2 linked regions of the Cricetulus griseus genome follow. The protein of the gene in region 1 purifies or fractionates together with the protein of each later gene. This does not show direct contact. Links are inferred from orthologs where the notes say so. Each region holds a gene or a part of one and is shown in the gene's direction. Other genes may lie near its edges.

Region 1 (3,970 bases):
AGGCAGCTGGAGCTCCTCAGACGCAGTCCAACTGCCCTCCAGCTGTTGCAGGCTCCTTGCCCCCTATGTACCAGATCCCAGAGATGGCCCGTTTGCCCGGTGTGGCTTTCCCACCTACCATGATGCCCCAGCAGGAGGGGCAGGTAGCTCAAACCATTGTCCCAACCTATCATCCATTCCCAGCCTCTGTGGGGAAGTACCCCACACCCCCCTCCCAGCACAGCTATGCCTCCTCAAATGCTGCTGAGCGAACCCCCAGTCACGGCGGTCACCTCCAGGGTGAGCATCCCTACCTGACACCATCCCCAGAGTCTCCTGACCAATGGTCAAGCTCTTCCCCCCACTCTGCTTCTGACTGGTCAGATGTGACCACCAGCCCTACTCCTGGAGGTGTAGGAGGAGGTCAGCGGGGGCCTGGAACACACATGTCTGAGCCACCACACAGCAACATGCAGGTTTATGCGTGAAGAGTCTGCCTCAGGCATAGAGATGAAAGTGCTTATCGTACATGCTGCTGAGGAACAAATGAAGGTTATCCGAAGAGAAATGAAGAAACCTCTGTAACCAGCTTTTGGAGGCAGGAGAGAAGATGCTCCCAACTTTCCGACAAGCGAGAGAAGCATCGTATTCATCTTTACTGAATATCTGTGCACTTTTAGAGGCGGACTCAGCTCCTACTAACCTGTGACCATCGGGCGAGATCATGGAGATGCGAGATGAATACAAAGAGGCTCACTCTCTTCTTTTTGGAGAATACGATGGAGGCCTTTTATAGCCAGACATTCTTGCAGCTTGAACATCATTTTAAGCCCTGGGGGCTTCTGTATCCAGGAGGAGATTCTGCTGGGAGTCAGACTGGGAATTGTGCCTGGGATTCTGCCCAGGTCCACCTGTCTTATCTTCTCAACCCTGGAATTGGCCTTGACTTCACTTGGTGCTGTCCTCTCTGCACCTGTCTGTGGTTGATCCCCATCAGTGTGTAATAGGCAAGACTTTTGTGCTTTTAATCATTCCTGCCCTGGAAAACAACTCCAGCCTCTGTCCCCACATGCCCACTACCCCAAAGGAGCCTCACAGGGTTTACTCTGGTTATGGTTCACAGCCTCGGCCTTTGAAGTATGCTTCTATGGAAATGCACACACTGCAGTCTTCATCTTTCATTCCTGAAAGGAAGGAGAAAGCAAGATATTTGGGGGATAGGAGACCCCTTCAGAACCTGCACCTTAATTCTCTTCCCCCGCATGTAGGTGTGGGGCCCCATATGCACTCACCAGGGGGAGGATATAAATTGTTCTTCTGTGTGTTGGCCTATTCAGTATAAACGTGTACTCTAGGAGACCTGGGTACTATGATACTCCCATTGTGTTGTAAAGCAGGAAAAGTAGGAGAATGTTGGAATGACCAAGAGATAAGCTAACTGGCTCAAGAAGCAATTGCCCACCTGCAGGCCCTCCACTGACTGCCACTGTGAAGCACATTCATCCCCAAATTCTGGGACTCATTGATCCAGCAGATGAAGGGACTCTTGGCTGCTGCACTGATCCTCAGAGATTGCCACTTAGGACCGAGCTTGCCTGAGGCTCGGGGGACTCAATGACTGTCACCTTCCTTATGACCAGTTTTCTTCGAGGCCAGAGGCTGGTTTATCCGTTTCCCTCCACACTGTGTGATCTGAGTCATTGGTACACACAGTTCTCAGTAAAGACATGGGATCTGTGTCTGGGTTGCAGAAGTGGAGAATGGACAGTCCCCTGAGCACACGTGATGAAGCAGTCTTTGCTCGTCTTTGCTTCATTTTCTTCTTTCTCTAGAGTCACCTTCAGCTGATGATGGCTGAGACTTGCTCTGCATTGTCCTTGTGTTCAGATTAAGATTGTACCTCATCCAAACCTGCTTCTTGTATTGTGGTCTCAGTGGCCTTTGTCAGATGTAAAACTAGGACGGTGGTTTTCTCCATCTACCCCTTCAGTCAGTTAATAATTGGCCGTGTGGTCATCTCATCACTTCCCCCTGGTGCCGGGATGCCCATGACACAAAAAAAATGAGTTCTGCTGAAGCCTTTGTGTATATTAGTAGGTAGATTACCTGGGGGGGGGGTTGCTTGTTTGTTTGTTTTAGGTTTTGTTGTTGTTGTTGTTTTAGCAATAGTCTTTATTTCTGGAGTAGTTGAAATAAGTGTCCCCCACTCATTTGTCAGTTTGTGAACCCCTGTAGTAACTCTGTGTCTGTTACCATGGTAGTCTATAAAAACAAATGGGGATTTTTTAGTCCCATCCAAGTTCATTCAATCAACAAAAACAATTTGTTCCGTCCTGGTCTATGGCAGATTACATTTGGTCATTTGGTTTTATTCACATGAGGTAACATCATCCTACCAGCCCTTTTCATGGTGTGCAGACATTTTACTGCCCTAAATGGTGACTGTCTCCCCATGGACAGTCCCAGATTAAGAGAGCCTGTGTGTGTATGGACCTCTCTGCCCCCAGCTCTAGTGCCACTGCCTGGGAACAGCCTCTAAGCCAGGCACTGGGTCTGTAATACCCTGGTCCTTCCCCAGACACAACGGAGAACAAATTTGCTGTTTCTCCCTCCAGGATCTCTCAAAGTAGATCTTTAGGGTTTAGGAGGAGGGATGTAGAAGCTGCCATTACAGACAACGGGCTACAGAGATGAGGACAACACTGCCAATTATACGTCTGGCCCATGCTGTAGATGTTAGAACTCTTGACCTATGTAGGTGTTTAGGAAAGGGAGGGGTGCATAACCCCTTTCTCATGGGGTCTGAATCAGAGGTTAGGTTCTTATAGGACATATCCTTTAGTCCATGCATAGACCCCTGTTTTGGATTTATTTTTATTTCCATGAATTCTTCCTTCCTTTGACTTCCACATGCCTTTGAGAATTTTTTTAATTTGTTCTTTTTTTTGTTTTAAGCATTGTTTTCTGACTTATGTGATGGTGGGGGAATTGAAGGAAAGAGACTGAGTTAAAGATTTCAATGAAAGGCTTCAGCACAGGTCTGCCACAGCACTTGATTGAACTTGGTCGCTCGAAAGCCTTGCATAGAAAAGAACCAAAGGTGTAATAAGGTCTGTTAGCGTGTGGTTTCAGAACCTAGACTTGAACCAGCGCCTTGAATGTATGAGGACTATTTGGAAGGACACATGTCTATGTCCTGAGGCCCCCACCCATAACTATTTTGGTACTATGGCAACTTCCTTGTGTACATTTCCCTGAAAAGTGACATTATATCTGTTTGTATGAGAAACTCAGTAACCAGAAAATGACTGCATGCTCCTGACTATAAACATAGGAAGGAAAATGCGTACTGTTTTTACTTTTAAAAATTTTCATTCTACAAGTAGTTTAAGATGAAATTTATATGAAAACATTTTTATCAAAAAATAAAAAAAGGTTCCATGTCAAGGCTCAGTGAAATCATGCTCCACTCTTTTCCGACTCTGGTGCTTTGTTCTACCGTGATCGTCTCATGAGGTCATAGTTGGTGAAAGAAACTTAATTTTCTTCTTCCGGAATCTTAAAAAGCCTGGTACTGGGGTTCTTTTATTTTTCTCGTTTAGTTTGATCGTAAATAAATGCTTCTGAAGGGAAGGTTCCCATTCCCTTTAGTTCAGAACATTATAACATTGAGTCACTTTACACACCTTAACCACAGCTGGTGGCCAGCAGACAAATACTCAGGACCAGGTACCTCCCAGTGAAGTAGAGAATGTTTGCTGAAGCAAGAGTTGGGAATTGGGATAGAAAAATCTACTGATGCATTTATCCAAACCTGATGGTTTATATGGACTTTCATATAGGATATAATATATAGGATTATAAAATAATACTGGAGCACAAATGCATTAACAAGTACATTGATTTTTCAATGAGACATGAGTACTTGGTGGTGATGCAGTTGTGACATCAGTAGCCTCATAGCAACCCTAACATCTAGCTTATTTCCATA
Region 2 (4,302 bases), on another chromosome or scaffold:
CGTCCCCGCCCCCGCCCCCTCCGGGAGACTCCTCCTTTGAAAGAGCCTGCCAGGGAGGAGGGGCAGCGTCGGGGACGCGGGCCTCTAACCTCTCTGCGGTTCTTCAGTCCCCAGGACAGAACAACCGAGGAGAGCTTAGGCGGCCAGCGTGGGAGACGCGAGTGTCCGGAGGCCGTGTCCTGCGCGCCAGACTAGCGGTGACCGCGGGTGGGAGGCGCAGGCCGCCCAGCGTGCCTAGGGTCTTCCGGCCTTTGGCGGTGGGAGACGCGGCGTCAGCTCCAGCTCCAGGAGCAGAGCCTTTCGTCGCAGCGAACATTTTGCAGGAATGTAAATGAGCGGGTTTTGCGCTGGGGGAGGGAGGCGAAGGGGCGAGGGCGGAGGCAGAGAGGACTAGGGGGCGGGGAGGTGGGGGCGGGGAGGAGGGTTGCACATTTTACAGCTCACTGACCATTTGGCGATCCATTGAGAGGAGGGTTTGGAAAAGTGGCTCCTTTGTGACAGCTCTCGCCAGATTGGGGGGCTGCTCATTTGCATCTCATTAGTTATGCGAGCGGCCGGCGGGATTTAAGGGCGGCAGGCTCCTGCCTCGGCCAGATCCTCCGGCGTGCACCCGCGGTTACCCTGTCTGACCGAGGCAGGTCACGGGAGAGCACCGGTGCGGCACGGAGCCTCCCACGCTTCGGCCTCCGGTCCTGGGTGTGTGTTCTCGCATGGCATTGGCTGAATTCTTGGGGAAGACGCGAGGCTTTGCGGTGGCGCAAGAGATACCGGTCCAGAACACTCTGGGAGCGGCAGCGGCCGCCGAGTGACGCCCGGCCGGGAGGGAAAGCAGGGCGCGCGCCGCAGTTCTTGCCACCACCGCCGTCCGATCCCACCGCGCCCCTCGGGGCCCCGGATTATCGCCTCACCGGTGGGATTTCCAGACCGCCGCTCTCTAATAGGCCTCTGAAGGAAGCCACTGCAAGCTCTCTTGGGAATTAAGCTGAACATCTGGACTCTCTTTCCTCTGTGTCTTCTCTCCTTTCTCCTCCTTTCCCTCCGCGAAGAAGCTTAAGACAAAACCAGAAAGCCGGCGACCCTCACCTACTCGTGGACTGAAAGCCAGAAGAGGAAACCGAAAGTTGCCCTTTCTCAGTGCCTCGCAGAGCTCTGTCAGGGACGTATCTGAAGCACCGCACCCTCTTTAAGCAACTGGCTCTGGTTACCACACCTGGAGTCGAGAGACGCCTTTTCCCCGGAGCTCCTCGGCTCACATAGACTTTCCTGGCATTCCTGGGTCTTTGAAGAAGAGAGAAAAGAGGATACTCTAGGAGAGCAAGGGCGTCCAGCGGTACCATGGGCCGTCGGAGCGCGCTAGCCCTTGCTGTGGTCTCGGCCCTGCTGTGCCAGGTAGGGGGCCGGGCGGGGCTGCTGCGCGGTGGAGGGAGGGGAGCCGGACGAGCTGATCAGCTGTCCATCCCCAACTGACTCCGGCAGCTACGACCCCCGAGAGCTGCCCGGCAGCGGGCGGCTCCGGACGGGCGCTGCGGTGCGCTCGGCCTCTGCGTCCTAGCAAGGGCCCGCGCGCCCCGGGCCCCTCCGCCGCCAGTGCGTCCTCACGCCCCTTCCCTGCGCAGGTCTGGAGCTCTGGCGTATTTGAGCTGAAGCTGCAGGAGTTCGTCAACAAGAAGGGGCTGCTGGGGAACCGCAACTGCTGCCGCGGGGGCTCAGGCCCGCCGTGCGCCTGCAGGACCTTCTTCCGTGTATGCCTCAAGCATTATCAGGCCAGCGTGTCCCCGGAGCCACCCTGCACCTACGGCAGCGCGGTCACGCCAGTGCTGGGTGTCGACTCCTTCAGTCTGCCTGACGGCGCAGGCATCGACCCTGCCTTCAGCAACCCCATCCGTTTCCCCTTCGGCTTCACCTGGCCAGTGAGTGGGCACCTGCGCGCACCCGGCTGTGCCTGGAGGGGTAGGGTGGCGGGCGGGTGGCTGGCAGCGGGAGGAAGGCAGTGGCCACTGATAAGGGTTGGAGAATCCCACAAACACACGCCTGTGGTCTTGACTTCTTCCCCGGAATTGACCTGCAGTCTCTGGAGGTTGAGGAGGGAATATGGAGCACCAGAAGCCTTGGCAAGCCCAAGGCATTTTCTCACACATCTCTGTTCTTATCTGGAGGGTCTAAAGCTTCTCCCTTCCCCTCAAGATTGGGAGAGTTCTTGTTCCATAGCTCCCAGGCCTGATTGTGTCACTACTAGAGCAGTGCTCTCCACCCTCGAGGTTCCAGCCCCAGAAAACTAATGACAGACACAGACCATCCTCTCCTCTTCCACCACCCCTACCTTGTTGGCTCAGTACTCTCACCCCTTTAAAACAAACACAATATTATGTATTAACATATTAAAGAGAAAGCACACACGGGAAAAACTCTAAAATTATTCTGTTTTCTTAAGGAAAGTGTTAGGAATTGACCCTCTCTGGCACCTCCCCTTCCTCCTCCACACTTGTGGTTTATCATGCACCGTCTCCCCCTTTTCCCAGGGTACCTTCTCTCTGATCATTGAAGCCCTGCACACAGATTCTCCGGATGACCTCGCAACAGGTAAGTCTCCAAACCTGAAAACCGTGCAAACTCCTTGTTGATACACATTCTATTTTGCCCACTCACCCAAGTCCTCTGATGCCTTCATTCTGCACCTGGAGTTCAGAGTCCAATCCATGTTGACAGCATCCCCACCACTCCCTCTGTTCCCGGGCTCTGAGTGTTATCAGAACCAACCTGAGCATCTTCTCTCTCAGAAAATCCAGAAAGGCTCATCAGCCGCCTGACCACGCAGAGGCACCTGACTGTGGGAGAGGAGTGGTCTCAGGACCTTCACAGTAGCGGTCGCACAGACCTCCGGTACTCTTACCGTTTTGTGTGTGATGAACACTACTACGGAGAAGGTTGCTCTGTGTTCTGCCGACCTCGAGACGATGCCTTTGGCCACTTCACCTGCGGGGAGAGAGGGGAGAAGGTGTGCGACCCTGGCTGGAAAGGCCAGTACTGCACTCAACGTGAGTCCTCAGGAGGATGACTCCTAAGGGTCCATGTATGGGGAAAGACACAGGACTTAGCAACAGGGGATGGCACAGATGGCTCAGTGGGGAAACTGAGGCCTAAAGAGCAGAAGTGTCTTGCTAAGGTCTTGTGGGCAGTGGCAGAGTTAGGCTCAACTCAGGCATTTTAACAAGGGAGACCTTGTATCCACTGTAGGAAGCTGCTTTTCTTCACAGGGAGGAGTTCAGAGACAAGGCCAGGGGTCAGGAAGTAAGGCTGTGCTCTCCCTAGGGCCTTTGTATTAGAAAGGGAAGGGAGGAAGGAAGGGAGGGACAGAGAGGGGATGTGGAGGGCTCATTTTCCAACAGTTCTCCTTGCTGTGACAATGTCTCTTTGGGAAACCCTCCCTTTCCTCCTCAGAGTTAGGGTGCCTGACCTGCCCACAGAGTAACCCATTTCCAAAGATCCCCTGTGTTGAACCCTGAGTGTCCTGTAGGGAAGTCTTCAGTCCTTTGGGTGGCAGGAAGCTGGCAGGTGGGCTGAGTGAGGCACAGAGCAGGGCCACGGGGTGAAAGGCACCTGGCATGTGGTCTAAATGCTCATAGCACAGTCTGTAAAGAAATGCAGTAACTGATGTCCTGTAATGCTCTTGCAAACCAGGGGATCAGGGCCATAGGGAGGACTCCGGCTCTACTTCTGGTTTTCAAGGACCTCAGTGGGCCACCCTCCAGCTCTCTGAGGCCTCAGCTGTTCAACCTGTAGGAATGGCATTTCCTTCCAGTCAGGGCTTGGTGAACTTTTGTTCTCCTGCCCTGGAGCAGTTGAACATTGGACTCTGTGAGGCCCAGAACCTCTCTGTCAGTGCCTAGAGGAGGATATGGAGCAGCTTTCTAGATTTAGTTTTTGCTTGAGGATGAAGGGGTCCTCACTCCAGTGAGAACCTGAATGTCATTGTTGCTTAGTTTCCCATATCCTTGAGGGCTTTGGAGCTCCTTTGATGGCCCGCCTTGGCCAGAGCTGTATGTTTTCTTAAGAGCTGGAGTTGCTGATCATTAATGAGTTTCATAACCAGGGAAGTGAGCCAGCTCAAAGCTCCAGCCTATGCCCCCCACCCCCCCATCTTCAGGCTCTCTGGCCTCCCACTGTAACTTTCCTCTCTAGGGGCCAATGGTTCTGGGGTAGCCAGAAATATAAACTTTTCTTCTTATTCAAACGCTGGGGTTTCTCCCCGCCCTTGCTTACACGTGCCATAGATTAGATCTCTCTGAGGATAGGCGGTAGGGA

What was found.
Region 2: the proteins of Notch2 (region 1) and Dll1 purify together in Homo sapiens (affinity purification with western blotting; 3 studies listed by BioGRID). This does not show direct contact. The link is inferred for Cricetulus griseus from reciprocal best matches to the Homo sapiens genes NOTCH2 and DLL1.

Annotation. Positions count from the first base shown.
Region 1 is NW_023276806.1:58,331,873-58,335,842, reverse strand, and holds the end of Notch2 (neurogenic locus notch homolog protein 2), read left to right. Parts: coding exon 1-467; 3' UTR 468-3,432; downstream 3,433-3,970. UniProt on the Homo sapiens protein: Functions as a receptor for membrane-bound ligands Jagged-1 (JAG1), Jagged-2 (JAG2) and Delta-1 (DLL1) to regulate cell-fate determination.
Region 2 is NC_048595.1:294,338,867-294,343,168, reverse strand, and holds the start of Dll1 (delta-like protein 1), read left to right. Parts: upstream 1-1,335; coding exon 1,336-1,389; intron 1,390-1,616; coding exon 1,617-1,910; intron 1,911-2,519; coding exon 2,520-2,580; intron 2,581-2,777; coding exon 2,778-3,035; intron 3,036-4,302. UniProt on the Homo sapiens protein: Transmembrane ligand protein of NOTCH1, NOTCH2 and NOTCH3 receptors that binds the extracellular domain (ECD) of Notch receptor in a cis and trans fashion manner.